Coturnix japonica: one gene and its partners. The protein of the gene in region 2 purifies or fractionates together with the protein of the main gene of each other region. This does not show direct contact. Links are inferred from orthologs where the notes say so. Each region holds a gene or a part of one and is shown on either strand. Other genes may lie near its edges.

Evidence for each region.
Region 1: the proteins of WDR82 (region 2) and SETD1B purify together in Homo sapiens (affinity purification with western blotting; 4 studies listed by BioGRID, with this or other methods). This does not show direct contact. The link is inferred for Coturnix japonica from reciprocal best matches to the Homo sapiens genes WDR82 and SETD1B.
Region 3: the proteins of WDR82 (region 2) and PPP1CB purify together in Homo sapiens (affinity purification with mass spectrometry; 5 studies listed by BioGRID and IntAct, with this or other methods). This does not show direct contact. The link is inferred for Coturnix japonica from reciprocal best matches to the Homo sapiens genes WDR82 and PPP1CB.
Region 4: the proteins of WDR82 (region 2) and PPP1CC purify together in Homo sapiens (affinity purification with mass spectrometry; 5 studies listed by BioGRID and IntAct, with this or other methods). This does not show direct contact. The link is inferred for Coturnix japonica from reciprocal best matches to the Homo sapiens genes WDR82 and PPP1CC.

Annotation. Positions count from the first base shown.
Region 1 is NC_029530.1:4,867,398-4,874,700, forward strand, and holds part of SETD1B (histone-lysine N-methyltransferase SETD1B), read left to right. Parts: intron 1-3,389; coding exon 3,390-4,169; intron 4,170-6,119; coding exon 6,120-6,290; intron 6,291-7,303. UniProt on the Homo sapiens protein: Histone methyltransferase that catalyzes methyl group transfer from S-adenosyl-L-methionine to the epsilon-amino group of 'Lys-4' of histone H3 (H3K4) via a non-processive mechanism.
Region 2 is NC_029527.1:1,817,478-1,825,382, reverse strand, and holds the start of WDR82 (WD repeat-containing protein 82), read left to right. Parts: upstream 1-3,829; 5' UTR 3,830-4,129; coding exon 4,130-4,290; intron 4,291-7,905. UniProt on the Homo sapiens protein: Regulatory component of the SET1/COMPASS complex implicated in the tethering of this complex to transcriptional start sites of active genes.
Region 3 is NC_029518.1:24,310,957-24,318,259, forward strand, and holds part of PPP1CB (serine/threonine-protein phosphatase PP1-beta catalytic subunit), read right to left. Parts: intron 4,221-7,303; coding exon 4,089-4,220; intron 1,590-4,088; coding exon 1,359-1,589; intron 1,011-1,358; coding exon 906-1,010; intron 1-905. UniProt on the Homo sapiens protein: Protein phosphatase that associates with over 200 regulatory proteins to form highly specific holoenzymes which dephosphorylate hundreds of biological targets.
Region 4 is NC_029530.1:5,182,121-5,189,423, forward strand, and holds part of PPP1CC (serine/threonine-protein phosphatase PP1-gamma catalytic subunit), read right to left. Parts: intron 3,266-7,303; coding exon 3,134-3,265; intron 1,938-3,133; coding exon 1,707-1,937; intron 852-1,706; coding exon 747-851; intron 1-746. UniProt on the Homo sapiens protein: Protein phosphatase that associates with over 200 regulatory proteins to form highly specific holoenzymes which dephosphorylate hundreds of biological targets.

The DNA of each region.
Region 1 (7,303 bases), on a different chromosome or scaffold from region 2:
GATACCCTGCATTCAGTAGCTCTCTACCCTGTCACTATTCAGATTGGTCAGAAGGAAGATCTTAGGATATTTATTTTGCTGAACTCAGGGAGGCTCTACCTGAGCTAAACCTCACTGTGCCAGGACTAAAGGTGGCAGTTAGCGTGTTGGACAATGAATGAGGCCCTTTATAAGTGGTTACGCTGACGTGAGTCTCTCCCAACAAATTTACATCATTAAAACACCTTTGGAAAAATGTGTCGTGCATATAATTAAATACCTGTTTGGCTAACTCTTAATTTAATTAATGCAAAGTGAAGATGGCAGCACAAATTAATTGAGAAGGAAATGGCTTTCCTCTCAATGGGCTGAAGGGAGGGTTTCTGGAGGTATTGTGCCCTCAGAAATGTGCAGGTGAACTCTGGGACTGATTGACACAGTTTTTTTGACGGTGATAGAAATGATGTCCTCGCAGCAGTATGTATGCCAGTTAGCAGCTCTTTTTCCCCCTGTGAAAGCAAAGAGGAAACCAGAAGGCAAAGCTGCTTTTCAGCCTTACTTTAAGAGATATTTGGTAGCAGCCACAGCAAATTCAAGTTCAGATGAGTGAATGAAAAGAAATTCATGCCACAAGAGGTCTTTCTGTGTCTCGCATTGACTTCTTTCTGTGCCCATATCTTTCTCAGTTGGTGCCCATGTTTTTTCCCCTTAGATACAACTTTCCTGTAACTGTTCATCTGCTTAAAATATTAATTTTTCTTAACTTTCTTCAAAGACTTCCCCATAGAAGATCTTCTTTTGGTTTGACCTCTTTGCTAACCTTGTGTATTCTTCTTTTTTCCCCCCTGCCCTTTTGGTGTTTTTCTCCCTGCTGTTAAATGTTTCCCTTTCCATTTTGCCTGGGATAAAACTGGAGCACTGGTTGTTCACTGTGTAGGTGAGTTGTCAGCCCCACACTGCAGGAAGCAGGGAATCTGTTGTTGCTTCCTGCAGACGTACATAAGTACAAGAACTTAAAAGCGTCTTCCAGGAATGCTAGTTGTGTTGCTTTAGCAGTTCTCAGCTCAGCTTAAGTGCATGTATGAGACATATATGAATGAAGGAGAATGAAGGAGGCTGATGTGCAGCTCAGGCCTGCCAGCTGTGGTTTCAGTATCAGCTGGTCAGGTTGTGCATGAGGGGACAGACCCTATAGGAAGACTAGGGATCCCTAAGGGGCTGTGGCTGGGAACACGTCTCCATGGTGCTGTCTGGCTCTGGGGCTCCACAGGGACTTCACAGGGTGACTTTCCTCCATATTCCCCATGGATGAGATGAATGTAAACTTGAAGTTGGTTTTGTCTCTCTGTGGTAGGCTGGATGCTTCTGGCTTCTCATCCAGTACTGTCTTTTAGTATGATCCAGTTTCTGCAATTGGAGCTTGTGCTTTTAACAGTGCTTTATGTGTTTGTTTGGTGAAAAATGGGCTCTGTTTCACAGGAGACTTGTTTACACCTGCCATGATCATCTTGGTTGCTCTTCCTTTGTCCCTCTCACTGGAGCTGTGTTAGCTGCAACTGCAGAATGTCCTTTCATTCCTTGGTATCCACAGTGTGGTATGAGATTGTGGAGCTGAGCAGCTGGGGAAAGGGATTCAGGGTGCAGAACTCAGCACTCATTCATGCTGTGAACCACTCTGCAGGGATGAACGGTGGTCTCCTTATAGAGCCCAGAGATTAAGCATCTTCAGAAAGCTAGGATTGCAGTTTTTTTGGGGTGATCCGTGCTGTGTGTGCACTGGTGGGCTCGTGCTGCAGCAGCACAGAATGTGAGGAAGCCTGGGCGAGGGGAGGTGCTAGGACAGGAGGATTTGCAAAGCTGCTGTGGCAAGCACTGTGCTCAGCCTGCTCTCTGGTGGTAGCTGCTGTAGCAGGAATGACCTTTGATAAAAATGTGAAGCATTTGGTTTGGATGGGGTGGTTGTGGTTGCTCAGCTTGGTACAGCTCACAGCAGAGTCATCAACTCAGCTGCTTTTGCTTTTGTTCTCTTACTCCTGAGCAAAATTCCTAGGTAAAAATTGAAATCACAGCAGCTTTGGGAAGAGAACTGCCAACAGAGTTCCCCTGTGCAGTTCCTTCAGTGTCTGACAAAGCAGGAGCTCCATTCTTCCTTTCTTTCAGGTCAGGAGAGTAGACAGCAGGTAACTGCTGGCCCACAGCGTGGAAGAAATAAACATCTTGGGGTTCTCCAGTCAAGACTGGCTGAAAACAGCCAACAAATTCCAAAAGCTCTTGCCAGAACTGAGATGCAGAAATACTTAAGTAGGCCAGTGACTTGCGGTCGGTCTCATTTCCTTGGCTGGCTGCAGGGGCGGGACATGGGATTGATAGTTTCTGTTTAGAAGAGGAGGCACAAACTGTTTAGTTCCTTTGTGCAAACTGTCATGAGGAAGGAAGTGCTTGATAAGTTGTTCAAAGGAGGCAGGCCAGTTGTGCTTGTTGGGAGCTTGAGCGAGAAAGTCACAATGAGAGCTTCTGCCTTTCGGTCCTAAAAACATATGGTGGTGTTTGCTGTCACCCTAGTGCTAGTTTTGCCATTTTTATCTGAGAAAGAAGGAAGAATGGTGTAAATAGTTTTGGAGAAGGTAACTTGGGACCCTCTCTTGTTTTTGACATCCAGTGGCCAGTACTCATTTTGCTTAGAAACATGACATTTGCTGTGTCTTTGAATCACAGTATTTATGACTGTGAAATTTAAAGGTAATTTAAGCAAATTCAGGTTTTGTTTTTCAATGTGAATTGCTTTGGCCCAGTAGAGACAACTTCTAATAGCAGCAGCCTTGTCTGCTACTGTCTTTCCACAATTAGAGGATAAGAGTTGACAGCCAGTGAGACAGAGATAATAATTCAAAAACATAGAAACTGTGTATGTGGTAAAAACTAAAGAATGAAACCTGTGGCATAAGGCACCGGTCAGTATTAGATGCAAATAGGAAATAATACATTGTGCAGTGAAAGGAGTTTGGGTTGTGTCTATTTTGCTAAGTATGGGAACAAGTCTTAGTCTTGCACAGAAGCTGAGGTTTTGGGTTGGTTGAATCACAGAATGGCCTAGATTGAAAAAGAACTCAAAGGTCATCTGGTTTCAACCCTCCTGCCATGGACAGGGTTACCAGTTGTTAGACCAGGCTGCCCAGAGCTGGTGGTCTTTGAGAAAGCTTCTACCCCTGCTTCCTAAGGTCTGACACAGGAGAGAAAAGCTTCAACAGGAGCCAGCTGCTCAGTGGACCTCATCTTTTTCAGAGTGCTGTTGGCTTTGCTCAGATCCCAATTAAAACCTGTGTCAAACTTGGGTTTATTAGAAGCAGCCAGAGCTGTGGTATTTATCACAAAAGGAATGTGCTCTTCACCTTTTCTCTATTTTGTTTCAGAGTCAGCATTCTTCAGGGGAGGACATGGAAATCTCTGATGATGAGATGAACTCTGCACCCATCACCAGTGCAGAATGTGCCAAAACCATTGTGGTCAACTCCTCAGTCAGCAACGCAGGCGTCATGGCCCCATCGATCCCTCCCTTGCCGCCACCGCCTGGATTCCCTCCTCTTCCTCCTCCTCCACCACCTCCTCCACAACCAGCTTTCCCGATGCCTCCGCCGCTGCCTCCTCCACCTCCTCCCACACACCCTGCTGTTACCGTGCCACCACCACCGCTCCCCGCACCCCCTGGGGTCCCTCCACCTCACATCTTGCCTCCGCTTCCTCCCTTCCATCCCAGCATGTTCCCAGTTATGCAGGTGGATATGATAAGTGTCTTGGGCAACCACTGGGGTGGCATGCCCATGTCCTTCCAGATGCAAACTCAGATGCTGAGCCGCATGATGCAGGCACAGAACACATACCAATATCCGCCTTTCATGGGGGGCAGGATGCAGTTTGTGAATCTGCCGCCCTACCGCCCGTTCTCTATGGGAGCAGCTCTTGGTCGTGGGCAGCAGTGGCCACCACTGCCCAAGTTTGACCCCTCAGTTCCACCACCGGGCTATGAGCCCAAGAAGGAAGATCCCCACAAAGCCACTGTGGATGGAGTCCTCCTGGTCATCGTGAAGGAACTGAAGGCTATCATGAAAAGGGACCTGAACCGGAAGATGGTTGAAGTGGTAGCATTTCGGGCATTTGATGACTGGTGGGACAAGAAGGAACGGCTGGCAAAGGTAGGCTTCTGTGTCTTGTGTGCTTGGGCACAATTAGAAGGGGACAATGAGCAAACTCTCCCTCCTCCCCAGTGCTTGTATATGGCAGTAATTAATGCAAAAGCTGAACGTTGGCCAAATACATGAGGATTAGTTAAGGGGACAGCTTCGCATGAATTGTCTGATCCTTTCTCGGCCAATTTCAAGCATTCCTCAGCCAGCAAACAACTCTGTGATTTAATACACAGTGAAATGAACTCTACCCAAAAAAGCTAATGCTATGATTTGCTAAGATTGATGCAATCTTCACAGTGACTATTACAATTAGTTGTTTAAAATATATAGAAATAAATAAATAAAGCAACACCACAAGCCACAGCTGCCCTTTCTGTTTCAGATACCAGTTTCCAGAGCAGTGCCCTCACCACAGGCTCTGTAAGCTGGTTGCATGCTAGCTCTCGTGTCTGAGATTGCTCTTTGGCTTACAGAGTGATCAGTATTGCTGCTTCCTGACAGTGTGATCTGCTTAGAGCTGCCTAATGGGCAGCGAGGAGCCTGGTCCTCTGCTCTTGGCTAATGCACAGAGCTGCCTCCACCAGTTAGTACGTGCTAACAGTGTTGGAGTTGGTTCCTGAGCTTCCAGGAGAGTGAGAGGAATGGATCCCAAAAGCAGAAGCTGAAGTACCCAAGAAACTGTTTTAAACCAGGCTTTGAAGTGAAGAAGCAGAAGCAAGTTGATTCAGGTCTGCAGGGGTGCTTGGGCTCCTGTATGTACCATGCTGGGGTTAGGTTTAGTCTCTCACCTGGAATTTGCAGCCCATGTTGGTAAGGGAAGCTGGCTGTGCCACAGCAACTTGGTACAGTGCGGGTTGTGCTGAAGGTGAGCAGTCTAGTGGAACGTACGGGAAAACTGATGTGCTTTTTGTCCAGGAGCCATTGCTGCTTTAGGGCACTGTCCAGAGAAGCTTCTGCCAGGCTTTATGTCAAGTTGCACATGGTGAAACCACCCAGGTCTGAGCCTCGTTTCTTCTAGGCCCAGCCACAAGCTGTCTGTTTGCTCTAAAGGAGAATAAACTAGGAATATTCAGCAAAGCGGCACCTTCCTATTGCTGGTGTGTTGCTGTCTAAGGGCTCCTTGGTGACACCTGTGGGCTGGGGCTCCACATATTGCCATCACTGATTTTCCTAGAACAGACCAATTCCTCCAGGCACTGTTTTAACTCTTTAAGGTCTTTTCCAGCCTGAGCAATTATGTGATTCAGCTCTTCATGGAAAAGCACCATACATATCACACTAATGCCTCAGCTTTTGTATCTCCGTTTTCTGGCTACTGTATCAACTTGTCTGCTGCTGATTGCCAGAAACATATTGCTATAGGTGTGAAGTGGGTGTCTGAGTTCTGTGTTCAATATTCCCATTAGTACTGTCCTTTATTAGCAAGAGAGTTGAGCTTACACTTCCTTTTCAGTGATTACACTCTAGCAAATTAGCTCTGTAAGTGAACATGACTTTTAGTGGATGTTGCACCCACTTACTGATGCGAGTGAACATTTCCTCTGGTGTCCTTCGCTCAGGACAAGCATGTTGTTATGTCTTTCTGCTTTGCTTTGCTTGATGGATTTAAATGCAGGATCTCTTAGTGTCCATGCCAAACAACTCCTCTGAGAGTCCCCACAGGTTTGTCTTCAGCAGTTTTAGTGCCCTGTGCAGAGCAAATAGCTTCTTGAAATACAAAGGGGAGAAGGCTTCTTGAAGGACGGGAAGGTCTCATTGTCAAGAAGAGCTTCTGTGCTTTCTCCCTTTCAAATGGTGTGGTCATGTGGTGCATGTCCAGATGCCTTCAGAGAAACTGATGCCCAAGCAAGGGAGGGATATTTCACGAACCCCATCTATCTAAATGGCTGCTGGAGTTCACATTCTCCCCAGGAAACTTCTCTTTTAAAGGTCTTTTTTTCTCCTCTTCTGTTTTAGGCATCTCTCACTCCAGTGAAGTCTGGAGGAGAACTGGAGGAGAAACCAAAGCCAAAGGATCGAATTGCATCTTGTCTCTTGGAGAACTGGAACAAAGGCGAAGGCCTGGGATATGAGGGAATTGGCTTGGGCATTGGGTTACGAGGGGCCATCCGGTTGCCATCCTTCAAGGTAAAAACAAAGATCTGCCTTCATTACGCTAACATTCCCTAAAGGAGCAATGGGAGAATAGACCTAGCCAGGTTTGTCCCCCAAAGCCTTACAGGCTGTTAGCCTCACACTGTTACCTTACAAGATTCCTTCCTCCAGTATCCCTTCTAACCCACCAATAAAAAAACAAGGATACTGTTACCCAGCCTTAGCCTTTCATCTACCACTTGTGTGAATTATTAGGAAAGGATTTCTGCTCTGCAAGGTAAATGGGACATGTGCCTGTGTGCTGGTTTCAGCTAAGACAGCATTAGGATGCAGTGTTTCAGTGTGGTTGTAAAAATATGCTTGTGCTAATAGCACTTTACACAGCTGTTTCTTTGCTTGGAACTCTGTAAGCAGAGTGTATTCAGAGCTGGATTTACCATTCATAATAGGCCTGTAACACTTCTAGATCTCTGGATTTTGAGGTTTGGCTCTTTTGCATAAGTCAGCTATAATGTCTTGCATTTTGGCAGCTGAGTCACACCTGGAATTTGATTTAAAATGTTCTCTAACTCGTGTGAGTTTATGGGATTAGACTTTCAATTACAGGGTCATTAACTCTAAAGTTTATTTGTGCTTCCTGCCAAGAAGTAGAAGCATAAAAAATGAAAGGTTTTTATTTTTTTTCCTCTAGTAGTTTAAGCAAAAAATAAGGGATGTTAGAGAGGACTTCCTTGAAACTGAAGTTTTTAATGCAAAGAGAAGGCACATAAAGATTTGGGACTAGAGATTCAGTAGTCCTGATTTATAATAAAACTTGTTTCAAGGTTCTTTCAGATGTAGGCTCACTCATTTTCTGTATTGCTGTCTCAGACCCGTGCATTTTCACAAGCTATCTCTGTCAGATTCTAAGTACCTGATGATGACATGCACCATGCTGACATGGAAGGTGTTTTGATTCGAACCATAGGGGTGGAATTTCATTCACAGTAAAATACTGTTTGCAAGAAAATAAAAGGATTAAGAGCCGGGGAAGTGGCCTTTAATTT
Region 2 (7,905 bases):
TAGGTAAATTACCATTAAGCTCACCAAGGCTTACGGCTTCCATTTTTCACGTGGGAGTTTACCTATGAAGTACAGCACAGCGGAGATTTTACTGCATTCAATTCCCATGTTCCCACTTACTGACACATCTCTTCTATCATTTGATAGATCAAATTTAATCTGCCTGCTGAGCCCTGCTCAGACTCAAACTTGATGTTCCAGATGGTCCCAAAAGCACCACAAGAAAATTTTCAAGGAGATGCACTGAGCCCAGGAAGAAAACAAAGCGGTAAAGTTTTGTTCCAAGTGACTACTTGGGGAAGGATTAGATGGGGGATTTTTCAAGACTAATCTCTTTAAATGAAAATTTCAGGATTTGATTAATTTTTTAATCTGCGCATGGATTTGCATACAATTACTGCACCGCCTCAGTCACACTGTGTAAAAGAGAAAATATCTGCAGCTAGGATGGACCAGCTGGTCACTGCTCTGCTACCAAGAGCCAGGTGTACAAGTGGATGTGCAGGAACAGAGGGGTCTTTCTGCCCCAGCTCAGCACAGTGCTCCTGCTGCACCCACTGGGAGAGAGGAATGTGGTGGACAGAAGATGTATGAGGAGACCAGGGAGCTGCACACAAAGTTTGCTATGCAGGGAGGGGAAAAAGCAAAAATGAGTCTGAGCACCTTTGTTTCAAGAATATGCTGAGCTCTGGGAAACCCAGGAGCCCTAATTTCTAATAGATGGCTTTCCAAATGTTTCTTAGAAAAGAAATATGTTGCTCTCATGACTGATTTACTCACCAGGAAAATGTCAACAGGGTCTCTCTGCCTCTGATGAGGAACGCAGCCTAAGGCTGAATACAGAGAAGATAAGTGTTCAGTTCAGCATTTTATATACAAAGATCAGTATCATTAGTAAAAAAAATTAACTGTGTTTGACATATGCATCTTACTAGTTTTTCTAGGTCACACTCCCTTCACTGCCTATATACCTTTTGGAAATGATTTTCCCTTGCACTGGGGATTGTAGGGCAGAAAAATTTTTCACTAAGAATCCTTCTGTAGCTAAATGCAGAACAGTACTACCCTGAAGCCAAGTCCATGCCAAGTCTACTTCCTTTCATGTTGTAATTTCTCAAACTCCCTGTTCTGAGTCAACTCACAATCAAAGTGAAGAGTCATTTAGAATATGGGGAAGGATCATAGTATTCTAGAGAAGATGAAAAGTTGCCAGCCTTGAGGACTCAAATAATAGAAAGGACTTGAAATTCAGTCCTGCAGAATACAAGGGCATGCTCTTTGGAATGAAGAGCAAAAAAAATATGAGCTCCTTAGTTGAAAATAACACGAAGACAAAAAGCAAGGAATATTAATCAGTCACAGGATGACAATTATGCCTGCCCTCTAGGCTGAGATGATAGGCAATGGGGAAAGCAGAAAGCAGCAGACGTGATCTACCTTGACTTCAGTGACATCGCTCTCATTAGCAAGCTGAAGAAGTTCTGGCTGAGTAAATGTACTGTTATGCTGGCTGCAAAACACCTCGACCACTGGGCTCCGAGCACAGACATCAGTGGCTCTGTGTCCAGATGACAGCTGGTAATGAACAAGGAAGTCCTGGGTTTCAGTTGGGGTTTATTTCACCCCACAGCTTCCTTAGTCACCTGGGGACACTGATTATTTAGTAATATTAATTAATTCTGTATCCCACTAACACTAACCTGGGGGAATGCACTGAGTAGTAAAGTTACCTTCCAGAGTCACTGCAATAAACTGCAATAAGCGTGAGGTTTTGCTGCAGGGACAAGATCTACATGCACCAGGGAAGGCTGAAAACCAACTGGTACAACCAACTTATGATCAACCTGATCATAGCTACAATTAATTGAAGGGAGGTTGTGAAGACAACAGATATGAGATGCTGGTAGTGGCAGGAAGTATAAAATGGCCACAGTTTGCAACTTGAGATGTTCATATCAGACATGAGCAAAAAGATCTTTATAGGGAGAATAGCACAGCACTGGATCAGGGAGGGAGAGATGCTATGGGCTCCATGATAGGAGATAACTCCAGAGGTCCCCTCCCACCAACACTTCTGAGGTCACATACTACAAAAGCAGGGATTCCAGAGCATCACATTTAGCTTCAGAAGTCCACAGAGCAATGCTAAGTTGTAGGATTCAGGTGCTCTACACAAGTCTTCAGACACAGCTGTCACCCACTGAATCATCCCTCCCAGCAGAGTCCGGGGAAAATGTATTCACCTAAGTAGTGTTCTTTCCAGAAACATTTCTTGGAAGTTCACATCCACCCATCCAAGCTAATGCAAGCACAGGCCTGTTTGTATTGCGCAAGTTACAGTGGTGCCTAATATAGAAACGCATATGTAGAATGACTGCATTTGATCAATATTACTCAAGCAGCAATTAAACCTTTTTTTTCCTATTAACTAGTTTTGCAGGGGTACCATCTACATTATCAAATCAACAGCCCACGGTGTTATACAGCTCTAAAACCTGGCTAAGTACTGTAGGTGTTCTGAAGGAAATTGCCTTATGATGGGATCAGTGAGTCATCTTCTGGGCCCAGATGAGATAATCCAGGCTTTGATGCCATTTACACTGTGCAAGAAGCATGCTGTTCTGAACTTCTCTAAAGCCTTTCATGATGTGAAAATCGATGGTAGGTTTTGAACTGACCTGTAATGGAGCAGCTGAACCTGAGACACTCCGAAGCAATGAAAGTGCATTCTGTGGAGACTCCTGAGGCTTTAAAGTCCTGCATCCACCTCAGAACAAAACTTGGTGAATCATTCCGACATCGCAGCAGGTAGAGGTGAATCAGGATAGGTGCCAAAGCCTGCAAGGACGAGCAGTAGAAAACAAGCAGTAAAATAAACATCTCAAAAAAGGCTTTTGTTTAACTGACTAAAAGCCACGCACAGGTAAAATAATGACACGTTTAGACGACGTACAGACCGCTGCCAAGTTCCCAGGCTTATCGCAGCATGACCGCAAGAGGGCAATATTATTCTGAAGCAAACTTTCTGAAGCGGAAAACTCAATTAACATCCACACAAGCAACTTTGGCTTTTACTTTTTATTGATGCTTTCTTCGTTGCTTTTAAGTTTATTGAAGGCCGAGACAACAAAAGATTTCCATTTTTCTTCTCAAATTAACACAGCAGGGGGCTGGAAACCATCAAATTGGTGGGGGATTTTCACTTCAAGGTTTGAGATGTAGGGAAACACAAACATAGATCTTGGTAGCAGTATTTATGATGGGTAAAATGACAGCCCAGGGGCGTCTGCACCACAGCACCTACCTGAAGAGCCAAGGTGTCTTTCTTGGATGTTCTTTAAGTGCTGTCAGTGCTGTAAGAGCACAGTGCCATAGCCCTTGTGTCGGTGCAATACTGCTTGAAGGCTGCTTTATGCAATTAAAAGCACTGTAAGTGTAGCAATATGACTAAAAACAGCATTTAAAAGCAGGAATTCTGTCAATGAACCAATGAGGTGGACCTACAGCAGCAACAAGGGCAGCAGCGATAAACCTGAGGCAACCCTTCCAGCACCAACCTGAGGGATGCACTGCAGCCCCACAGAAGGCCGCCTCACAACCCTTTTCCTCATTGACTTAACACTGCTTTTCCCCACCCGCTACGAGCTTCACTTCACATTCTTTAAGAGCTGAGGTCATAACGCCAACAACCCCACACAGGAATGGACAGAACCGAGCCCAATATCCACCACAAATCCCTCCCACTGCCTCCTTCAAAATGGCGGCCGCCCCTCCCCTCTCCGTCCCCACTCCCATGGTGCTTTGGGCGCTCACCGCCCCATCATGCCCCGCGCGCTGCCCCTCCCCTCTCATAGCGGCGGCCCAAGATGGCGGACACAATGAGGAGGAGCCGCCGCGCCGCGGCCTGAGCGGGCCCAGCCCCGCCGCTCCCCGCTTTACCGTGCCCACACGCAGCCTGTCGCCTTTTCCCGTCCTCTGTTGAGCCTCACTGAGCCGCCAGGCCCCGCTTTATTTTATCTCGCCCCCTTTTTTCTCCTTTGGGCCTGCTTTGATTTTCCCGGCCCTCTCGGCGGCCCCGCCCGCCCCGCTTTGAGCGCGGCCGCCTGTGAGAGCGGCCCGTCCCGTCGGTATGAAGCTGACGGACAACGTCCTGCGGAGCTTCCGCGTGGCCAAAGTGTTCCGCGAGAACTCGGACAAGATCAACTGCTTCGACTTCAGCCCCAACGGCGAGACCGTTATCTCCAGCAGCGACGACGATTCCATCGTGTTGTACGACTGCCAGGAGGGCAAGTGAGTGTGTGAGGCCTGGGGGTGGGAGCAGTGAGGGGCTGGGGGGTGTTGAGCGTTGTTTGGTCCCATTGGTTGCCCGAGGGGAGATATCTTTATAGCGAGACACACACAGCTTAAGGATCGCATCCTGCTAGTTCCGAGCATACAAACTGGCTTTTTCCCCTCACTAAAACACAAGTAATTGCTGTGAGCAGCGCTGCTAAGCAGCAGGATTCGACCATTCCATAAATAAAATGCGAACATAGCGCGTTGTCTACTTGCCGTAACTTAAAATAGCTTGGGGGTATGCTGATAAAACCCCATTCCCGAGTGGGGTTTAGTTGTGTTCTGTGTTTTTCTCCAGTATGGGACTGGGAAAATGTTCTTTAAAAGAGTTGACGGGCACTGGCACAGCTGCATGGGGAGCTGTTGGGGGTCACTCTCCATGGAGATGTTCCAGAACTATGGGGATGTGGTACTGAGGGATGAGGTCAGATGGGAGTGGGTGCATGGTGATGCTCTCAGAGGGCTTTTCCAACTGCAATGATACTGTGTTCCTATTTTAATCTGTAAATCTGGCTTGAAATATATGTGGTTTGCTTGTCTTTATGAGCTAGCAGTGTGTCCATATGGCCAAGAAGGCCAAAGGCATTGTGGCTTGTATCAGAAATAGTGTTGCTAGCAGAAATAGGGAACAAATCGTCCCTCTGTAGTCAGCACTGATAAGGCTGTACCTCGAGTACTGGGTTTAGTTTTGGGACCACGGAGGTCCTGGAGCGTGTTCAGAGAAGGACAGCTTGGCTGGTGAGGGGTCTGGAGCACAAGTCTTATGAGGAGCAGTTGAGGGAGCTGGGATTGTTCAATCTGCAGAAGAGGAGGCTCAGGGGAGACCTTATCACTCTATAACTACATGAAGGGAGGTCGTAGTGAGCTGGGGGTTGGCCTCTTTTGTGTAACTGGTGATGGGATTAGAGGAAAAGGACTCAAGTTGCTGCAGGGGAGGTTAAGGCTGGAGTGGTCAGGCCGTGGAATGAGCTGCCCAGGGAGGTGGTGAAGTCACCAACCCTGGAGGTGTTCAAGAAACATTGAAGGACACGATTTAGAGAGAACTATTGGTGATGGGTGGATGGTTGGACTGGATGATCTTATAGGTCTTCCCATCTTTGGTGATTCTGTGATTCTGCAGTATATATTTGGAATGTTTTTAAGCATCACGTACGTACAGAAAGTGAAAGGAAAACCCGTGTATCTGCTGTAGGATGGAGAATTAAAATGACAGGATAATAATGAGGGGAGAGAAAGAGAAATTGTTCTGCTGTCCAGTGTGTCTGTGTAGCCCTGTTGCTTTTTCAGGCAGACTAAGGTATCATTCTCAGTGTATTTGGAAGACTGCATCCTGCATATACTCTTCATTTTGTAGACTACTTATCATATGTTAGGCTTCTGTTTAGTTAGCTTATATTTCAAGTGAGACTTGTTACTCTTCCCACTCTGATACCGCAGACTTCTGCTTGAAGTGAATTTGTGTTCATTTTTATAAGAGCAGGTAACATTACGTGGCTGGTGTCTGCTCTGGATTGCATTCTTGATTGTGGTTATGCGCAGCAGCAGAAGGGATGAGTGATGTTCATGCAGACTTTATTGATTGCTCTTACCCTTTCAATCCTGTAGAGAATCGTTTGATGGGTTGGGAGACATTTGGCCCTTCCATCACCATTTCTGGCTGATACTGATGTGTGCTTTACAGTGAGGTTTGCTTTAACCTACGGTAAGTGTAGAAAATTGATGGCTTTCTGCTGCAGCTCTATGGGGCAGGCTGCTTTCACCAAGGTAGCCCATGTTTCAGGATCTGTGTTTAGTTATACTCTAGGCATGCACTCACCTAGTTCGCTTTGCTGCTTCAAATAAGCCACACCAATGTAGGAACTGTGTAACCACTGCCATGGAAGTGAACATCAGGCTGTAGGTATCGGGGCAGTTTGGCAGTCTGTGGGACTTCAGCTGGAGGCTCGTGGCTGTGCATCTGCAGCCCTGGTGTGATGCAAAGATGGCTTAGCAGGGGTTCCGTTTGTATCTTAGTGTGTAGCAATTGTGTTTTATTTATACAAATCAAGAGGTGATGGAGCTGGATTCTTGCTTAGCCATGGTGTTCACCAGATGTTTGGTGACTGGTTCTGGGTGATGGTTTTACCAGCAGGAATTGTTGTAGTACCAGCCTTGCCTGTTCTGTTTCTTTATAGCAGATTAGACTTTTGCTTTGTGCTTTGCTTTGATTTGCAGGTGGGCTGGCTAGATTGCCAATCTAGTGCATGAAGGGACCAGCTGTTGCTTGTATCGGCTTATATATTCACCTTTCTTACTACATATCTACATGTAGTCATGGTATTATTGACTTTCTGAGCATGCATTGGTATGTGTAGGTATTCTTTACTACAGTATGGAAGATCCCTTCGCACCCAAGCTGTTTTGTAGGTACTCAACATCATAACTGAGGTGGCTACAAATAATAGGTTACAGAGTTTAGTTATCTAGACTTAAATTCTGTACTTGGAAGTGTGTTATATGTGTTCCATTTTCAGTTTGTAGCTCCTTTGCATCAGTGAAAATCTTGGAAGCAATGTAAAAATCGACTGGAAGGAACTGAGGAAGAATCTGTTGGGATTTGGTGCAAGTGGTAGAAGTGGGGGTGGGCTTTGAATTATTTGTGCTGTATTGACTTTCAGTTAATGGAAGCTTCTCTCCTGCAGGCTCACTTGAAGTAAAGTCATGTGGCTTCTGCTGTTCAAGAGTTGATCTTTAAGATCAATGTCTGCTTTTGTTCTGATAGGAAACATCTCCAGCTCCTGCTCTTGTTTGGGTGTGTCGCTTTGGAGCTGAACAACACAAGGAAGCAATTGAGTGTTTTAGACATACCTTGTCTGAGGGTGTAGTCTGGTGAACTGCTCTTTGGCAGCAGAATTGGTTTAAACTGCTCCTGTTGTTTCGTTTCTGTTTGTGTGCTGTTGCCTTCCATTTGTAATAATAAGGTATTTTGTGGGACTGGAATAGAAGTAACTCCCTAAAGAGACTGCATAATTTCTTATGTTGATATCAGTACCCATTTGGGTCCATTGCCCTGCTCAGAAACCACTGTGCTGCTTCAGCTGAAGAAGAAAGAGGAAGGAGAGACCTCGTGCCTCTTTTCGCTTCTGCTACTGCAGAAAGATACACCGCTGCTTCTACAGTTCCTTTGCAATTTAACTACTGCAGAATACTGCTCGCTTACCAGACCCTTAACAACCAGTTCTGTGTGTCTTTGCTCTCTAGAATGTCTCTGATATTGTCACATAATGTTACACTTGAGTTTCATGCTTTAATTAATATAGGATCTGAGTATAGTTCTCCAGCAGTTTGAGAGTCCCTGTGTTACCATTGCTTCCTTATAGCACTGTTATGTATTTGTCTTAATACCAGGAAGACAATCTGAATGAGATCTCTGAGGTTTTGAGATAGCATAGGACAAAAAGATAGAATCTAAAACATGTGGCAAATGGATTAGAAATGGATTTTGGCAAGGTACTGATGAGGCAGTGCTGCTTGGCATTAAAGGCTTCTTATTCTAGCTACCCCAGCTCTTCACATAGACACTGTAGGGAA
Region 3 (7,303 bases), on a different chromosome or scaffold from region 2:
TGTTCAATCAAACTGTAGATTTCTGCAGAGCTCTCAATTCCAGTGGTTTCTAATCACCTCCTTGGCAATGCAGACATGATACCTACCACACCATTTCTGGATCAAGCTGCTGCGTAAAGAAGTTAATTAAAAAGATAGATGGAAGACTGTGGGATAGCTCTTGCTACTACAGAAGTAATTCGAAAGCGTTGTCAATTGTTTAAATTGTTGCAATAGTACTCTACAAGGTCCCAGAATCCTCCAAGTATCACCTCCTATAAAAACACTGAGGTGTTTCTTTTGACAAAGAAGAGTGACTAAGTCCCAGTACAGGAAGAAGTCACAGCCTTCTTGCAAATCAAATCCTTTTCTTCCACTACAAAAATTGTGCAGCACAGGGACCAGTACCCAGAATGTATGTTTTCCAACAGTCAGGATCCTTTGGAGTCAGATGGAGCCATGACTGATCCAATGTCAAATGCCTCAACTCAAGCATCAGGCTTGATTGTGACTATGTGCCAGGGGTCTCTTCCACCAACATCTTACAAAACCAGATAAAGAAGCCAAGACCACAGAGCTGGGGTTACTTGTGAAGCTTTTTCTTTCATTTCACAGCTAGAGATTCCAGTATCTGCTATGCATCAGTACATAGCTTTGCCAACAAGACATGAAGCAAAAAATTAGGCATGAATTCTCATGTATTGACAGGAATAATTAGATGCACTTGCCCCTCTGACACAAGTGGTCATTTATGACTGGGAAGCAAAATATTTCTTAGCAGCCAGATGTACTGAAAAAAGCAAGACAACAACAACCTTTGCAGACAATATACATTGTGAGCTGAACATGCACATCCTCGCAATTCAATACAACAATAATCCAAAGAACAGCTTAGACACATCCTTTAAAAGTAGTCATCCATTTACCTCCATGACAGCAGAAGATCTTCTCATCCACAATGGCTGCAATTGGCAAACAGTTAAAGCAGTCTGTGAAGGTCTTCCAGAGCTTAATGTTAAACCTCCGCTTACCTACAAGAGCAGTGTGAGAGATTAGGAAAAGATGACTATTTTCTTAAAGCCAACCTACAACATGTATTACAACTTGATTGGGGATGTAAACTGACTGTCTTCACACAGCTTTATTTCTGAAACCTGAGTACACTCAGAGACTCCTACAATACCATTTCAGAAACAACAGAATAGAAAATAATTCTAAGTTTAACCTTCTTTTGATAGGCTCTTTGAGAAGGTTTCAAAGCAGGTTCACAGAACACTGAAATTCTTATAGCACATGAATCGTGAGTCATTTACCAGAAGTACTTCCAAAACACAGTATTAATACACATCAGCCTTTCAGAAGAAATAGGTTTAACTTACATTCATCATAGAATCCATAGATCCGGTTGATGCTAGCACACTCATGATTTCCTCTTAAGAGAAAGAAGTTTTCTGGGTACTTTATTTTATATGCCAGAAGTAGGCAAATGGTTTCCAGAGACTGTTTGCCTCTGTCTACATAATCTCCAAGGAAAAGATAATTTGCTTCTGGTGGGAATCCTCCGTATTCAAATAGTCGAAGCAAATCTGTATACTGACCATGAATATCACCTGAATAAAAAAAGGATTACCACGGATGAGTGCAACAATGTAAGGAGTAAACATATCAAGAGCTTAAATCACTGTACTAAGCTTCCCATTCTCTGGCATTTAGGACAACTCCCTGGATGCATTTATTGTAAACAGTACAGAGACTGAAAGACTGATAGCCCTGACATGCTACTCAAAACTGCAGAAGTCTTAGGAGCAGTAATGATCATGTTACTCATCACACTGCCAGTTTTAAAACTAAGATGGCTTCCATCCACATCCACACAATAGCTCTGTGCAGCAACTAAACCACCACAGCACATCACATCAGACTAGGCTGAAGTAATTACCCTTGAGCTGCCCATAAGGTCAAAAGTGATACCAAAGCTCTACCGTAACTTGTACAGTAGCTGTGATATACTTCAGTTGACTGCAGAATTCATTAACAAAGTGACTAAATGCAAAACTATGCCTAAGAAACCCTTAGTAAAAGCTGTATGCTGATAATACAGACTACTTCTTGATCCCTTACACTAAGCATGTCATGAATACATTTTCAACTGTGCTGTTTGTTCTGTGGCAAAATACCTGTCTTTATTAAGCCTAGTAATTCTCCAGTAGAGAACTAGCTTCCTTGGCTATAAAGAGCAAAACTGACAAACAAAATGTCCCCACCCACATGCCTACAACTTGTTTCAGAACCTTAAACCAAACAAAAAGACTTGCACATCTTGTGTGGAGTCACATACTCCAGCAGTGACTTCATGCCTTATTCCTCTTTATCTTTCCATGAGAAAAATCAACACTATTTTCTTTCAGCAGACAATGCTTTCAACTATTTCTTGCTCAAGGAGGGGACTTGCACACCACTTTCCATTTAATAATGAACATTATTCACTACCCAACTGCAGGCCCTCTGAAGTTCTACCAGCTAAAATCATTTGTGCGTACACTACAAGAAGAGTTTCTACTCCACTTGGTATTTAGAAATCTCCAGGTTAAGACAGAAAAACATGCAAGTTTCATCAACATGTCACCATGGTGTTGAATCCAGTACTCCAGAACTATTGAATTAGTACTCAAACTTCATCACCATCAGAAGTACTCATCACCAAAATAAATATACCATGGAAATATTTAATGTTCATTGTCTGAAACTACTTTAAGTTACACACACAAGCTAAAGGGATTAATGGACATAGAAGAATGAAAGACCATTCTGTAGAAACTATTGTGAAGTGACCAAAGCATTTCAAATTATTCCTTTGCAGGCACCTGATAATTTAAAATACAACTTCATACAGGCACAAGTTGAAGCCTATCAGAGAAAGAACTACAGCTATTTTAAAATGGACGTTTACATAAGAAAATCTTCCATCTTATGTTAGAACAGCCATTCAAGACTTAAAAGCTTATTTTGAACTGATTACAAGACAGTTCTATAACAATTTCTCAAGCACCACCTGAACACATTAAACCAGTAGTTCAAAGCAGTACAGCAGCATATTGTGCTCTCAGTGAAAGCCATCACCTCTCTTCCACTTCTAAACAAATACAACTTTGACAATTTCTCTAATGTTTAATTTAGATCTACATGTCACTTCCAGGTGCTACCGCTTTGTTAAACATGTAACTTAAAAATAACAAATCTCTTACATAACTGTGCATTTGCTATCTCGACTACTGTATATCTAAGAGCCTTCTGAGCTCTTTAGATTTAAACAAGTGAGAAACTAACTTTGTTTGAAGGAGTCTCATTATACTTTGCAGATTGAACTTAAGAGTGTATGCAAGTCTTTCAATTTTATTCTGTCTAGGAATTAGATGACACTATTCTTTTTCTCATCACAGAAAAAATAAAATGAAGTAAAGCTAGATTTTTACCTTCAAATTTATGCTGTCAGGCAAGCTGGTCCTGTTCCTCCACTCCTCCATACTCAAGCAAGCCATTACTCACTTAAAAGTGACTTTGCCATTTAAGAACAAACATAACACTAATAACTGCTAATATTCTAAGTGAATGGCAATGACTACAATTGCTCCACTAGTAAGTGGACTAGTAAGTACTCCATCTCATCTTATATGAAGATCTTTCTTCAGTTTCTGCTATGAAAGGAACAACAACAGCAACCATTTACTACTTAGGTGTTTTTAGAATGCTTTGAGATAATGATCCAAACAGTAGCAGCTCTGTGGAGGAAGCCCTTAGGACAACAGACAGGCTGCAAAATTTGCACTAGAAGAGAAGTGCATGCAGCTCTTACTGCCATCAGCACTTGCTCCTAAATAGCACCAAGAGCAAACATTAGTTCCTTTCTCTTGACTAACTTAGATTGACTCCAATCTAAGTTGAAAATGATGTTTAAGGTTGAGAAGACCTCAATCACTAATCTGTATTGCTCAAATCAAGGTCATCTGTGTATCTCAGCATCTCCTTCATCAACTTTCCTTCTCATTCCAGTTAGCATACAACTAAATCAACACACCTACATAACAGACACACACATTAAGTTTACATACCACAAATTTTCAGCGGTGCCTCTAGTTCCAGGAGAATAGGCTGGCTAAGAAATATTTCTCGTGATTTTATGCACAAGCCCCGAACTTCTGCTTCTGTCATCTGAACAATCTTCCCAGGACGACATCCTCGTACTGTAATGAGAAGTTTAACAATTAAGATAGCTGGCACACAGACACCTAACAACAGTTAAGTGCAGATGAGCTGTGTTTGAAGTCTGTATCTGACACACCAACTTATCTACTAAATGTGGGAACTGCATATTCCAGCCAGTTCTAAAGTTAAACTCTGATATACTGGCAACCTGCGCTTAAGCTCCGAATGCATCCCGGTTAAGTCACAGTCCCAGAAAGCAGCAATTTAGATCTTGCTTTTGTCTGTATTTGGATAATAGCAACTTCAAAAAGTGTTTAAATGAATTATCAGATTATGCTAGAGTATTTGCAGCAGGCAAAAAAAGCCTTGAGAATGGAAATCTCAAATACATTGACGCAAAATGATCTAGGCCAACTAAGTTCAACAAGGCAAGCATAATAAAAAGGAACGTTTGTACTTTTTGCAGCTGAAACTGTCCTATCAGGAACATCACATTAAACTGTGTCTGTGCTGATTAAAATCTTCATTCATACATAATGGATCTCGAGTTATGGGAACCTCAGCAACCAAACAGACATTCAATTAGCTTGACATTGAATTCCTATATCCACAAGCCAAGTATTCCAATCCATACTTAGTCCTGAAGTTTCCAAAAACATCCCCACCGCACTCTGACTAACATCCTCTGCCAAGCCTATCTGCTGCTGCTTCTTTCCATGAATACCTACCTGATTCCTCTCTCAGGCTCTAATGTGTACATGCGGCAGAACAAATGTCTACATTCTGGCTGATGTGATTCAGTTCTACATGTCAGTATAAACTAACAATCAGATGCAACTAATAGAGCAGAACACAGCAGTGTCTATACCAGGCTACCATCATGTTCTGCCCCCCTGCTTCGCATGGAGCAACACTCAGCTTTAAACCACAGTAGCAGCTATAAAAAAAGTGGTATGAACCTTTAGCAGACCAAATCATGTTTTCAAACTTTAACACAGTAAGACTTGACTCAAAAAATATTTGCTGCAGTTTCAGTAAGTCTTATAAAACTTGCTAACAGAAGAGCAAAATGAATACATCTTTTTATTGCAGCTCAGCTCTCAGCCAACATACTTTGCAGAGTAGATCACTGCCATCTACGTGGGGGAGAAAGGATATAAGGGGAAACAACCCATCCTAAGACACATAGTACTGAAGTCCAAAGAGTTAAGATCAGAACGCTCTGCCCTGCCTATCATTGTGTACTTCCCCCAGAATGCATCTGATCAGTTCAACACTGCTGCTTGTTTTTAATTAAAATAAAAGAAACCAGATCACTTGTTTAACTAAGGTTAAGCAGCCACACAAGAGATGAAGAGGCAAAAAAATAATAATTAGTACTTCAAGTAGGGAAGAGAAGATGTGAAACTACATCTTGGGGCAGCCAGCGGGAATGCAACAATAGAAAGAAGGTCAGCTTATCTTCAGTGATGATACACTGCTCACTAGAATCCCATAAGAACGAGGCTTGCAGAAGCACCATAAGGAGACTTCAGAGAAACTTGAAATGTGACGTGACTCCAACTCCATGTGACATTTACCATACGGTAAGTCACACGCTTTCCTCTAACTACATTAGAGAAAGCAGACAGCTTTTACTAACCTCCTTGTAATCTAACATCTTAATGCGGGAAGAATGACAAGTTCATTGTCTGCCCTTGTATTTTTTAAGACACAAAGTGATCGGAGAATAAATGCACACAGGCCTCAGTCGCAGTGCATCTCAAATGTCTACAACATGATGCTCTTCGATGCATCTTCAACCCCAAAGGGGTTATTGGCAAGAAATAAACCTTGACAGATTTGCACAAGACTTGACGACTCAATCTGCAGGTACCAAAATCCTCTAAACACCTCCATGCTTTTCAAGTGCTTGCACTCCAGTAGCTCATACTCATCCCTTTTGCAGACCTGAAACTCGCTGTGCTAGACACAACAAACTGTCACTACACCTAAGAAAGTTCCCACCTGAGAAGAGCACAGCACAGCCTTAACAGTTCCCATTACTCTTTCTGAGATAGTTATGCTTCATTTTAAACCCATGGTTGTCTGATGCCTATAACATCAAGGTCCTACTGAGTGCTTCTTCAGCCTAACTAGCTCGTCTGCCACATTCTGCTCCACTATCTGCTTTCCTTAAAACCCTTCTGGTAAGAATTAAGTTTTCTTCTGTATTTAACTGCTGCCAATGTTTTGCAGCGCCAAAATGAAATCATGTAATAAGGATTAAAACCAAGAAGTGACTTAATTGCACACATATTGCACCCAGTCTAGTTTAGAACTCAAACCCAGGAAATCCCACTATAGATGACAGTGATGTTTCCTCAAATAGCCCCAGACAAAGCACAGAGACCAAACCCGAGGCTGTAGTTCAAGGAGGGCACTCACACCACTAACTTTGATCCAATCAATATTTCCTAGAACAGCAGCACTGGCTCCCTTTGAGAAAGAGAGGTTTAAACATGGAACAATTGCTTTGCAGGATTAAGCCATTAAGTGCTGCTGGATTTCTGAGCTAGAACACATACTGAACACACAGCTTGCGACTTCCAAATCAGCCAACTGCCACAGCACATCCAGAGCCACAGTGCGAGTTCCTGACCTTTTACAATACAGACTTACATGCTGCAGCTCCTTAACAAGGAAGCCAACAGATTGGCAACTCGTTAGACACTGGTTCTCCAAATAAACCCAGCTTCTCAAACTATGCTGGGCATGTCACTGGGAGACAAAACGCCTGGTGAATGCAGTTAGAAGCTGCAGTTAGAAGCTACTCAGGGGAAGGAAACAGCCCTGAGCCACTGGGCCTTTACAAAGGCCTGGCCACCTGAATCATTGGCAGCTCTGCAGAACAAACAAGCTCACTTACATTTGAAGAAGCAGAGCCTGGGCATTCAGGAGAAATCATCATCAATAATACATTAAAGAGAGGCAAGTTTTCTCCTGTAATCCACATAGTCAGTAAGACAATGAAATAGCAAAAAACAAGAAGCTACTGTGACCTCAGAAGCCTCCGCACATCACTGGACTCGGACTCAAAGGTGCTGCAAGGTTACCCAGCAAAGCATCTGGAAGAGCTGGG
Region 4 (7,303 bases), on a different chromosome or scaffold from region 2:
CGTGAAACAACATTTCAATCCAGCATATTTTTAAAGCTTTTCTGACAGGGGACACTATAAGATATACTGGGAGCAAGGTAAGCAAAGCCATTTCCACATGTAAAGGATTATAACAATTCCACTTCAATAATCTGCAAGTGTCTGTTAAAAGAGCTCCTAAGAGGCATTAAATACTAGAAATCACAAGGCTTGTTTATTTTAAAGATCAGGCTGAATAACATGGAATACAGAATCAGATCTTAAACCACTTTTTACTGCTATTCCTCCCGAGAAACTGTTTTACTTGCAGGTGATAATACACACACTGCAGCTTAAATGCTTTGCGCAGCTTTTCCAAGTAGTTAACAACTATCACATAGCACAACAGGGCCAGTCTGTAAACAGAGCACTAAAACACTGTTCTCAGAGTGTTTATACAACTTCTGGTCATGCAAGTCAGAAAACCAATGGGGACTCTTGGAATAAAGGAGACAATACCAGATATGTCCCCTGACAAAGAATACAGAAGGCAGAACTACCAGCTCAGCTATTTATGACAGTACCACTAATCAAGCTCTCAACACAAAGTGATGCAGAGACAAACCCCTGAAGTTTCAAAGCCTCAATAATGAGCTCCAAGACACAAAAAGCCCCTAAAATGTTTTCCAGCAAGAGAGGAGCACATGTCATGAATATGGAATTGCCAATATTTCAGTATTATGGGGTATTACATCTTCATGAAATATCAACTAAAGAACTTAACTTACCTCCGTGACAGCAGAATATCTTCTCATCCACAATTGCTGCAATTGGTAAACAGTTAAAACAATCGGTGAAGGTTTTCCACAGCTTGATGTTGTATCTTCTCTTACCTAGAAAAGATTGGGGGGAAAAAGACCATTCAATCTACTTCTCTAACACAACTACAAGCTACCTACTATGGCTGCCTGTAACTAAGACTTGCAAAAAAGTCATCAATAAAACCTACAAGCAAATATTTATCTTCTCTAATACTCTCTCACATCAGATACAAACCCTGAATGTATCTGCACCATGTGACTAAACCTGTGATTAATCTCTGAGGAGTCAACTCAAATACCACCCAACTCCACTTCCTTGTTGAAAAAGGAGAACGAGACACAGAGAACATTTTGTGACCGACAAGCCAAGCATGTCCCCAGCAGAAGCTGTGAGAAAGCCTCAGTACCCAACCACCGTAACAGCTTTATCTCCTCTATGTGAGATTAGGTCACATCCTTTTGTAACATACAAATGTACACATCTATTAACTTACAGAATTTATTGGGAACTAGATTGCAAGTGCTGTAACCATAATAACACAGAACAGCCCTTTACCCCAATCACAGTATACCTCAAAAGGTACATGAAAGTGACTGAAACCATAAAGCAAAGTAAAATCCCCTAATCTCTGACCAGACAACCTGAAGAACTTTACAAATTCATACCAGTGGGAACAGTTGCTTTACTTCAGTGGCCAATAAATAAAATTACCTCTTTGCTTGCTGTTCTGTACTGTGAGGACCAGACGATAATAAGATCAATGCAAAGACTTCCTTTTGCTAATACAGACCACAGGGCCATCTGAAGTGTGCAGAACTAACTGCAAGTTCAGGAAGTGATTTAATACTGGAGGTCTAGAAGACAGTAAGCACCTCCTACCCTGCTTTCCCAAGCCAAAGGTCCTCCCATCTGACCATATTACTTACATTCATCATAAAATCCATAAATTCTATTAATGCTGGCACATTCATGGTTCCCTCTGAGGAGGAAAAAGTTCTCCGGGTATTTAATTTTGTAGGCCAATAGAAGACAAATTGTTTCTAAAGACTGCTTTCCTCTGTCAACATAGTCACCAAGGAATAGGTAGTTGCTCTCTGGTGGAAAGCCTCCATATTCAAAGAGCCGAAGCAAGTCATAGTATTGTCCATGGATGTCACCTGTAAAAAGCAGTCAGAAATGGCACGTAACTGACTTTGTCATATTTTACAATTATTTTCCCTAGAGAAACAGCACCAACAGGAAAAACCTGCAGACAGATACTGCCTGCAGCATTCCTGAAGATTACATAGTTTGTCTTCATGCTATCACACTCAAAGTTGATATCTACGTAAGACAATGACTAAGAACACATTATGACTCCAGTACGTATCTGCTTTAATATACTCATAGACTCATAAAACAAGTCCAACATCCCAAGAAATCAACTCTACATACTCAAACAAATCTGGCACCCAGTTAAATCCTTTTCTTGACTACAGGCTGCAAGATTAGAAACCCTGACTTCATTCTTGATACAGCCACACTTCAGTAGTGACACTGATGGAAAAACTGCCTGGGGAATTTCCTTTCCTCTATACCACGTCTGGTATTTTCCTGCAACAGCCAGTAACTCAAATTCCAGCAGGGAAGTCGTATCAGAAGAAATTGGTATTCCTGCCTTTGGTTTAAATCATGGTTTTGTTTCAGACAGCAGAACAATAAATCTGGTTTTAAGGCTACCACATACCATAAATATTGAACAAGCTACTTCAGAAGTAAATCCGCAGTGTTGGAGCAGGATAAAACACTGCTTCCTGGAACCTCTACTAACGTGCATTTATTAAAGATTTATTTTGACATCCTTCATCCCTTTAGCATAACTACACATGTGCATGTCTAAAAAGTGAGAACATCACCATACATAAATATGGTAAAACCAAACCAGAAACCACAGGTGATACAGAAATTTAAGCTTCCAGATTCTAAAACTGTGTCAAATCAGGGCTGAGATCTGGATGGCAGCTCCCATCAGCTACTGTGTCTTGTTTTCCTCCATGTTCAGTGACGACAGCACTGAGCAATAACTGATACAAAGGTTCCTTTCCAAAGCTTCTTCTGAATCCCTTTCCCAGGAGACTTGATCAAACAGGACCACTTTCTGGTTTGGGATTTCCTGCTTCCCCCTACAATTCCCATTTACCTCCTTCCCATTCCTCCACTCAAAGCATTCAGGACAGGCTTATTTTCCCTTTTACTGCAATCATTCATCAGTTTTGTAAGCAGAAGCAGCATCTGGCATTCATCCCCTGCTTAAAAGAGGATATCCATCTAAATGCCCCCCACTCCCAACCACGCATCAGATCACAGCACTTACCACATATTTTCAGTGGAGCTTCAAGTTCTAGCAGAATAGGCTGACTGAGAAAAATCTCTCTGGATTTCAAGCACAGTCCTCTGATTTCATTCTCCTGAAGCTGGACATTTTTACCTGGTTTTGATCCTCTCACTGTTGGAAGGAATCAGAAGTCGGTTACCCAAGCCAAGAGTGTTCCCAGCGTTACTTTAACAGTGCCTAAATGCCATTAACATCAAATGGGAATGCAACAACTGTTCTTTTACAATTAAATAATTCAATAATATCTTAAAATAATCTGTATTTACACTTTGCTGCTAAACTCAGCTGTTTGCTGCCTTATTCAAACTACTCTGAACTCTTAAAATAAGTTTTAAGTAATCCAGTGTAAATGCATATGGGAATGTCAGACATATGAACATGCTTGCCATCCCATAACCACTAGCCAGAAGTTAAGCTAACTACTGACAGATTAAAGCAGTCAGGCACAGATAAAGCTGAAAAGTAAACAGCTGGAGCCCCAGAATTCATAAAAAACAAAACCAAATCCATTTCCTTAGAGGAAGAAAATACTCAAGTCGCACAAGGTTTATGAAACACAGTTTTACTCTACTCATAAGTCAGGTTTCAGTTACAATTAACAGGAAGGCAGTACATTACCTGCACTTCATCCTCAGAAAATGCCTCCACAAAACAAGACTTGTCAAAACCTAATGACCTGGCACACCCTTAATGACTGTTTTGCAATTTAAATGGACCAGTGAGACAAACATAATTGTGTTCCTGAAACCTGCCTCAATGTTACAGAGCATACTGCAGAAATTAGAAGTATTAAACAGCTTATTTCAATATTTCAAGATATATTTTACCTTTTTACCACTCTTATTTCACCCTCCCCTGGAGGCTCCAGTCCCTCAGGAGCACCAGAGCCACAGGAACAGCTGAATGCATTGAAAACCTGACAACTGGAAGGAGAGCTGGGAACCCTTCACACAGAATTTCCACTCCATATGGATTGGGACTGTGAATACATTTATTTCAGAAGGTTCCTGTAAATCCCATCCTCAGGCTTTCCCACTTCTTGGTTGTGCCAAAGAGGAGGAACGACATGAGAAAATGTGCAGAGCTAAAAAAGGGCCGAGGACCAGAATAATTTCTTAAATGCATTAAAATCAAAGCCACCAAACTGCTGAATTCTACAGCAAAGCTAAGAGGGAGCTATTAGCATCATTAATGCTTTGAAGAGTCTCTACCATGGAGAGAAATTGAGTGCCTCAAACCTACAAAGGATTTAATCAAGAGGGAAACAGCTCATGTATTTCAGATTCTAGTTCGTTGGCCATTTAAGCTGAGCTATTTCATTACTCACTTGGAGCCCAGACAAACTCACCTGTACTAAAGCAAGCACTGCATTTTCTGTGCTCTCTCCCCTGCCTCACCTATTACCAGTCCCTTTGAACACAGTGAAAGGCAACCTGGAAATTCAGCTCCCAGCTCAGCTGTTTTTTCAGTCCTTCGCTCTTTTCACTCCTCCAGTGCAACACCTCACAGTGTTTGGTTCCCTTTATCACCTGTCAATGCTCAGACACAGAACAAGGACACCAGCTTGGACTGAACAAGTTCCTGCAGCTAACAGAAGAGTTTTCCCCTCATTTATCTGATCCACCCCTCAGTTGCAGACACCATTTTCTGCTACCCAGATATACAAAGATATCGTTATATCCATTCATAAAAGCAACCATCTCTGGGCCCAGTCTCTGCTAGCACTTGGTGTCAGCACCAGAACAGCTCTGCCCTGCACACCAGCTCCTGTCAGTGCCCCTGGTCATGCTCACACTGCCTGCACTGCAGAATCACTGATAACACTGGAAAGCACACAATGTTTTCCTCAAACAAGCTTCAGAATCGAGCTTCAGTCCAAATTACAACACGTAGCGATAGCAGCATTCAGTTAAGTGCAGGTCAAAAGTCACTGCTTTAATAGCGCTATCTTTCAAGCAATACATGCTCTTCTATTACCCGCTGTCTATGTATTACTGCTCACCACTGGCACCGACTCACACGGTGACACTGAAATTACCACTAAACTTCAAGTATTCCATTAAAATATTACAAGTAATGAAGCATACAAATGGAAGTTAAACCTCAGTCGCAGCACTTCATCACACACGATGCTTCCCATCCGCGCAGTCATTTTTCCACCCGTACAATAATTTTCCTAACGCTCCCAAGCAATGAACAAGGCACTAAAAATGCCAAATAATGGACAGACAGGTACAGAACAAAGTGATCTGTTGGTTAAACTGTAAATGCTGATTCTCCCATTCTTCTTCTACAGTCCAACTCATCTTTGGTTTTAGAGATGAGCTACATGCAGGCAAAAATTCAATTTTCCCATGGTTTGGTCTTGCTAGAAATTGCTAAAAAACACACAGAATCAAAACCTGCATCTCACACACATAAATTAAGTATGTAAAAAAAGCACACAATGTAAGCAACACTGAGTCACTACAGCTCATGAATAAAGCATAGGCATTCGTTTTTGTTGAAGATTAAATGGAAATCTAAAAACCGACTGTTTCGGATTCAAGTTTCCAAGGTTTCTGATCTATTTCCATTGGACCAGTATAATCTCCAGGCAGTTTTAGTCCTTTGGCTGTAGGAAACCTCAGTGTGATCAGGAGATGCTTTGTTACAGCTTATACAAACACGGATGTCAAAAGGACAGAAGAAAACCAGGCAGATTTGTCTCAGTTCTGTACTGTGCTGTCTGACCACTCACCCAATGTAGGATCAGCACATGAGAAATGAGCTTGTTCAATTCCTTCTAACAGTGACCTACTTATAAACAGTTGCACAACATATTTCGGGCTTTAGAACAATCAAAGATGCACATTGGTTTGAGAAATCTATATTTTTAGTGCAAGGATTTTCTCCACCGTGATGAAAGAGCTGGTAAGAAAACGCAGGATATTCACTCCTGAATTCTTAAGAGGCTTCTGTGACTGAACCTTACATGATTTAGCCCCAGTAAGAAGGATGCAAATAATATCCTATGAAAAATGTGGTATCCAAAGTTTCTTTTTCTCTGATTTGGACCCAAACCAGGCAGCTTGTAGAGATCAGACCGTACACTGCTAATTGGCAGCTTGGTCAAAGTCAAAAGAGCAGCTGACAGTGCTGTACTCACACATTTGTTCTCTCAGTGCATAAAAAATAACCTCTCCGAAATGACAGCCTGGAACAGAGAGCGAAACAAGCTAAAGATTAATCAGCTGCGGGAAAAAGCCAGGCCATTTCCAATAATATTTTATTTATACCTTGTCTCAACACGCTGCTGCACTATCTCCAGACAGAAATAAATACCTTTCCTTCTTCCATAGGCAGAGACATTCTTGCTTTTGAAATTCATTTTGAGAGCTTGAATTTCAATGTCCAGCCTGGGCAGTTTTCTAACAAGCAAAATCATCTCCAATGTATGAGTGGAAGGAGCTTCAATAAAACAAGTTCTCCCCTGGCTGGAAAAAACTACAGAAAAGATCCCTGAGACCCGGATGCTTTCTCCCAAGCCACAGTGACTGAGCTAGAAAATACTCCAGCTTCTACAGCTATGTACAATGCAGGACAGTCTTAAAGGAGAGCAATACACCTGTTGTCCAAACAGAAGTTTAAGCCCTTGAAGGTATTGCCATTCTAGAGCTTTTCATTTTTCCATCACATTAGGCATCTGCATAGCCATAGCTTTGCAGCAGTGACACCTACATGCTCTTCTCCCTTCAGTGTTTGCTATTCCAGACCTTATTTCTAAAGGTTACACAGGCTCCTCGCAGCCTGCTCAAAACACCATTCGATAGATACCAAGTACTGAAATTACTGTTGTACTTTCCAAGACTGGAGGAGAGCTGCTGGAAAGCAATAACATATCACAAATCCCAGCTCTAAAATGAGGATGTGAGCGCAGCATGACGGCTGCTCAGCACAGGGGGAAAGGAAGGACGGGAAGAAAAGCAGGACCAAGGACATCCCTGCCACTTTGGTGCACAGGGCCAGCACAAACCTTTGCTGCCAGGACCTGATATCTAGGACAACTTTTAGATAGGCCTAAAGGACAGAAGGGTCAGGAACTGCAGGATCTGTAGTGTACAGCAATCAGACAGCACAGCAGACTGTAGGCAACAATCCATTGCCTAT